2 linked regions of the Saccharomyces cerevisiae S288C genome follow. Changing the gene in region 2 together with the main gene of any one other region gives a genetic interaction. Each region holds a gene or a part of one and is shown on either strand. Other genes may lie near its edges.

Region 1 (3,087 bases), on a different chromosome or scaffold from region 2:
GATTTTCTTCAAACGAAACCTTAGCAATTGTTTATTCCCACAATGCCCCATTGAATCAGGTAGTGAATTTGAGAAGAGATATTTGGCTTTCTCATTGGGCTTCCACAATACAATTTGAGGAATATTATGAATTAACAAACAAAGCCGCAAAACTGTCTAAAGGATTTTCAAGATTAGAATTAATGAAACAGATTCAAACTCAGAATATGAGACAAACTCACTTTGTTACTGTCTTAGACATGCTCCTGCCTGAGGGAGCTACTGATCATTATTTCACTGATTTGGTTGGCCTTGTTTCCACGTCGCATGCAGAACGTGACCATTTCTTTATAAGACCAAGATTCCCAATCTTTGGAGGTTGGAACTACAATTTTACTGTCGGTTGGACTAATAAATTGTCCGATTTCTTGCATGTATCCTCTGGCTCAGACGAGAAATTCGTTGCTTCTATCCCAATTCTAAACGGCCCACCGGACACTGTATATGATAATGTTGAATTATCGGTATTTCTTCCGGAAGGGGCCGAAATATTCGATATTGATTCTCCAGTCCCTTTTACAAATGTTTCTATAGAAACCCAGAAATCATACTTTGACCTAAATAAAGGTCACGTTAAATTAACTTTCAGTTACAGAAATTTGATTAGTCAAGTTGCCAATGGCCAAGTCTTGATAAAGTACGACTACCCGAAAAGCTCTTTTTTCAAGAAGCCTCTGTCTATTGCTTGCTATATTTTCACCGCACTAATGGGAGTTTTTGTCTTAAAAACTTTGAACATGAACGTAACTAACTGAGTTCACGTTTGAATGATATATACCTTATGATGCAGAGCAATAAATTCAGTATTTAATTTTTTATAAGTTTTATAGATAAGAATTTTCCAATGAATAAAGGTATTTACAATCATTTCCTAGACATTCTCGTGGTCTTTTCTTTGCACAATCAATGGTCATAGTTTTTTTTGTTTAGTAGTTTAAGGACAGAAGAATAACAAAGATGTTCACGTTTTGAATGTTACCAGACATTCTCAGATTCATCCTTTAACCTAGCGACGCGCACAGGCTCCCAATCCTCTTCAGAAAGACCTTGTAAACGATAATATTCTTCTTTAATATCAAATTCCCTTTGATTCTTCCTTATTTTCAAGATATCCTCTTCATTAATTTCCTGAACTTTACGATCGCCTTGCTCGTACTTGATCGCTGTAAAGCTTGACAACCAAAACGAACCCAATACTATTGTTGCACAAAATGGTAAACCAAAAAAAAGAAAGGGGTGCTTACTCAATGCTTTTTTGTATCGCCCCGCTAAAGATGCTTCATATACTAGCTGCTGTCTTCTAGACCTAAATTTTTTTCCGCTGAACGACATTTAGGAGACAAATTCTGGTAATATTTCAGTTGTTGACTAATATATATAGTGGTTTTTGCCAAAATTAAAGACTTCCTTTTATTAACTAGGTGACCAGATATAAGGAAGTGTATTTGCTTTCTAATAACTTGTGTACGGCCATAACCCGGCTTTTAATCAGTTTATTTAACAAGGTATACAAATCGCCAAACGTAACAAGAGATAGGCGCTATTATTCATTTAATATTGTCGTATTCAAAATACTAACGGTGAACAATTTGCTCCATTGTAACACTATAGGACAAGGCTAATCATGAATAAATATCTCCCCACCCAAAATATTCGTAGCTCGCGATATTCACGGTAATATTCTGTAACTTCATGTTAAGAGATGATCTTTAGGAAGGCTAAGGAAGGGTACACATAGAAGTGAGATAAAAAATAGGCATTTGAATTACTGTAACATGGTTTCGATAAGAAGGTATTTGCGAGTGCCGAATGAGTTGAAACCTTCCCAGATCTTCAAACAAGATTCTCTCTCTCCAAGTAAGATTGGACTTCAAATTGTTCTTTTACAGATTTTTTATTACACCACAGCGATCGTTCTTTTTTATTGTTGGGCGAAGCTAGCGGGATATGATCTCAATATCAAGGAATGGCTGTTTTCTTGGGAGAATATCGACTTTACGAACGCATACGGTTTATCAATCTCACTGTTATGGCTTCTGGATTCATTAATATGTGTTTTTTTCTTAACTGTTATCGTTGGACGGAGTAAACTCGCATGGGATTTTGCTATCACTATACATGCCATCAATTTTATTGTGGTGTTCCTCTATACTCGGAAATTTCCTTCTTTTTCTTGGTTTTTTCTTCAAATTTTATCATCTTTAATACTAATATTTTTGGGGACATGGACAACAAGATGGAGAGAGCTTAGAGACACCTTTTTTGAGGGCTTGGTTGATCCTAATGAAGGAGAAGTTGGATTGGTTACGCCTAGTCAGCAGCATAGTAATCATTCAGAATTGGAGCAATCACCAATACAACTAAAAGACTTAGAAAGCCAAATATGAGAGGAGATGAAACAACATATTCGAGGCAATTTTGGCAATATTATAGTCATTCAAGAGAAAACAGTAAATGTATGAAAAATGGCAAGAACCTTATCTCTATAGGCTTAATAAATCTGCCTTTTTGGCCAATTTTTCAAAACAGATCCTATTTCTTATTTATACACAATCTATATTTAACATAATTAAGTACGTGATGACATTGAAGATAATAATAAGTAAAGAGTTTACGTACTTAAATTTTATATAGTTTTAGTATACTTGCAATGTGTGAATGGATCTAGTAAGCTGAGGTACTTCTCTAGCGTGAATATGAAACGAGTAACAGGGTGGTACATAATTTACGAACAGAACTCAAGTTGATAAATCCTTTGCGTTCTTAACCATTTGTAAAAGTTCGTCAACAACATTGAAAATATTGCTTCGAGCAGATGTTTTATCGTTTCTGCAAATTTCCAGTCCTGAACACCTCTGTTGTCGTAAATGTAATAATGCCACACTGGATTCGATTCTAGTAATTACATGATCAAAAAATAACAACGCATCCTTCTCAGAAATCGATTGCATAATACCATTTTCAACTTTAGGGTTAAATTTAATATAACTTCCCTCCGTCCGAGAGTCTAGTTCAATAAATCCGCCGCTTAAAGCTGACATTATAGAT
Region 2 (3,761 bases):
GATGGAACAGGTTTATCGATGGACCAGGCGTGTGCAGTTTGTTTAGGCACAGACAGTGACAATCTGAATACAATTGTCTTTTGTGATGGATGCGATATTGCTGTGCATCAAGAATGTTACGGTATAATTTTTATCCCGGAAGGAAAATGGTTATGTAGACGATGTATGATCTCAAAAAATAACTTTGCCACTTGTCTAATGTGTCCAAGTCATACAGGTGCATTCAAACAAACAGACACCGGTTCTTGGGTACATAACATTTGTGCTCTATGGCTTCCAGAGCTATACTTTTCAAACTTACATTATATGGAACCTATAGAAGGCGTTCAAAATGTTAGCGTATCACGATGGAAACTTAACTGCTACATCTGTAAAAAGAAGATGGGTGCTTGCATTCAGTGCTTTCAAAGAAACTGTTTTACAGCATATCATGTCACGTGTGCCCGTCGAGCTGGTCTCTACATGAGTAAAGGGAAATGCACTATTCAAGAATTGGCCTCTAATCAATTCTCCCAAAAGTATTCAGTCGAAAGTTTCTGCCACAAGCATGCACCTAGAGGATGGCAAACGAGTATAGAAGGTATTAATAAAGCTAGAAAATACTTCTCTCTACTCTCTACATTACAAACCGAAACTCCTCAGCATAATGAAGCTAATGATAGGACAAATTCAAAATTCAACAAAACAATTTGGAAAACACCTAATCAAACGCCGGTAGCACCACATGTTTTTGCTGAAATATTGCAAAAGGTCGTTGATTTTTTTGGCTTAGCTAACCCACCAGCAGGCGCATTTGATATTTGCAAATATTGGTCAATGAAAAGGGAGCTTACAGGAGGTACCCCATTAACTGCCTGTTTTGAAAATAATTCATTGGGGTCCTTAACCGAGGAACAAGTGCAAACAAGAATAGATTTTGCCAATGATCAGCTCGAAGACTTGTACCGGCTCAAAGAGCTGACTACTTTGGTGAAAAAGAGAACACAAGCTTCAAACAGCTTGTCCAGATCCCGAAAGAAGGTTTTTGATATAGTTAAATCGCCCCAAAAATATCTTTTAAAAATCAATGTACTGGATATCTTTATAAAATCTGAACAATTCAAGGCTCTTGAAAGATTGGTTACTGAACCTAAATTATTGGTTATTTTAGAAAAGTGTAAACATTGTGATTTTGATACTGTCCAAATTTTTAAGGAGGAAATTATGCATTTTTTTGAGGTTTTGGAAACTCTACCCGGTGCATCAAGAATACTCCAAACTGTCTCATCAAAGGCAAAAGAGCAAGTAACAAATTTAATTGGGCTCATAGAACATGTAGATATTAAGAAGTTGCTATCCAGAGATTTTATAATAAATGATGACAAGATAGAAGAAAGACCATGGAGTGGCCCGGTGATTATGGAAGAAGAAGGTTTAAGCGATGCAGAAGAACTGAGTGCAGGGGAACACCGTATGCTGAAGCTAATCCTTAACAGCGGATAAAATAAAGGTTTTAATATTGCATTATGTATAATGAGTATGTATTTTTATGCTATTCTTGTAAAAGTTTGGCTTATTATTTACTTTCATGGAACACTTAGTAAAAATAACTTAGAAAGGTCGTCTTTTCTTTATTCTTTAGCATTTCAATACCGAACTAAATATCCGTTTTTATAGTTTAGTTGGTTTTGTTTAATTTCTAGAATCCTGTTCGGCGCTTTTGTTAAAAGTAAAAAATGAAAATTCAAACGAAATGAACCTAATCACGTTAGAATTTAAATCTTGGAATATGTTAAATATAAAACAAGAAGAGCAAGCAATACTATTTCTGACTAATTCTCTATACACATAAGAGCAAAACAAAATGTTCGGTAGCAAACGTCTGAAAAATGTTAAGGAAGCATTTAAGTCCCTAAAAGGCCAAAATTCAGAGACACCCATTGAGAACTCAAAGGCGTCTTTTAAATCCAAAAATTCAAAGACATCTACTATTTCCAAAGATGCGAAATCTTCCTCTTCTTTGAAGATTCCTATAAGTTCAAATAACAAAAATAAAATTTTTTCACTAGCAGAAACCAACAAATATGGGATGAGCAGTAAACCGATCGCAGCCGCTTTCGATTTCACCCAAAATTTATTGGCAATTGCTACAGTCACAGGGGAAGTCCATATTTATGGCCAGCAACAAGTGGAAGTGGTTATAAAACTGGAGGATAGATCTGCTATAAAAGAAATGAGATTTGTGAAAGGTATCTATTTGGTGGTCATTAACGCAAAAGATACTGTGTATGTTTTATCGTTATATTCTCAAAAAGTACTTACAACAGTGTTTGTTCCGGGGAAAATAACATCAATTGACACAGATGCATCCTTAGACTGGATGCTAATCGGCCTTCAAAATGGTTCAATGATAGTTTACGACATAGATAGGGATCAACTTTCCTCCTTCAAATTAGACAACCTACAAAAAAGCTCATTTTTTCCGGCTGCAAGACTATCACCTATAGTATCCATTCAGTGGAACCCTAGAGATATTGGAACTGTTTTAATATCATATGAGTATGTAACTCTAACATACTCATTGGTTGAGAACGAAATCAAACAATCCTTCATATACGAATTACCACCTTTTGCTCCAGGAGGCGACTTCTCAGAAAAAACCAATGAAAAGAGAACTCCCAAAGTTATTCAGTCCTTATATCACCCTAATTCACTGCACATTATCACTATTCATGAAGACAATTCCTTGGTTTTCTGGGATGCTAATTCAGGCCATATGATCATGGCAAGGACAGTGTTTGAGACAGAAATCAATGTTCCACAACCTGATTACATACGCGATTCTAGTACTAATGCTGCCAAAATTTCGAAAGTGTATTGGATGTGTGAAAACAATCCAGAATATACTTCACTACTCATCTCTCATAAGTCAATCAGCAGAGGAGATAATCAAAGTCTCACTATGATCGACCTCGGTTACACACCTAGATATTCAATAACCTCTTATGAAGGTATGAAGAACTACTATGCAAATCCGAAACAAATGAAGATATTTCCCTTACCAACCAATGTGCCAATAGTGAATATACTACCAATTCCAAGACAGTCCCCGTATTTTGCAGGATGTCATAATCCGGGGTTAATTTTGTTAATCCTAGGTAACGGTGAGATAGAAACAATGCTATATCCTTCTGGAATATTTACAGATAAAGCCTCTTTATTCCCTCAAAATCTTTCCTGGCTGAGACCATTAGCCACGACTTCAATGGCCGCTTCTGTACCAAACAAATTATGGCTTGGTGCGCTTTCTGCAGCTCAAAACAAGGATTATTTGTTGAAGGGAGGGGTTAGAACAAAAAGGCAAAAACTTCCCGCTGAGTACGGTACAGCATTCATTACCGGCCATTCTAATGGCTCAGTTAGGATATACGATGCTTCCCATGGGGATATACAAGATAATGCTAGCTTTGAAGTGAATCTATCAAGAACGTTGAACAAGGCCAAAGAACTAGCAGTTGATAAGATATCTTTTGCCGCAGAGACTCTCGAGTTGGCGGTGTCAATTGAAACAGGAGACGTTGTTTTATTCAAATATGAAGTAAACCAGTTTTACAGTGTTGAGAACAGACCAGAAAGCGGTGACCTGGAGATGAATTTCAGGCGGTTTTCTTTGAATAATACGAATGGTGTTCTCGTCGATGTGAGAGACAGGGCACCTACCGGTGTTAGGCAGGGATTTATGCCATCAACTGCCGTGCATGCCAACAAAGGGAAAACATCTG

Evidence for each region. Genes that interact genetically often act in the same process or in processes that back each other up.
Region 1: mutations in SRO7 (region 2) and SYS1 together harm fitness more than expected from each alone (negative genetic interaction), as found in Saccharomyces cerevisiae (5 studies listed by BioGRID).

The regions. Positions count from the first base shown.
Region 1 is NC_001142.9:430,928-434,014, reverse strand, and holds SYS1 (Sys1p), read left to right. Parts: upstream 1-1,814; coding exon 1,815-2,426; downstream 2,427-3,087. Other genes in the region: dolichyl-diphosphooligosaccharide--protein glycotransferase subunit OST1, read left to right, coding at 1-794; COX16 (Cox16p), read right to left, coding at 1,015-1,371; CYR1 (adenylate cyclase), read right to left, coding at 2,778-3,087. UniProt on the Saccharomyces cerevisiae protein: Necessary for the targeting of ARL3 to the Golgi. Involved in protein trafficking. May serve as a receptor for acetylated ARL3.
Region 2 is NC_001148.4:632,280-636,040, forward strand, and holds the start of SRO7 (Rab GTPase-binding protein SRO7), read left to right. Parts: upstream 1-1,843; coding exon 1,844-3,761. Other genes in the region: NTO1 (Nto1p), read left to right, coding at 1-1,482. UniProt on the Saccharomyces cerevisiae protein: Acts as an allosteric regulator of polarized exocytosis by promoting the targeted fusion of vesicles with the plasma membrane.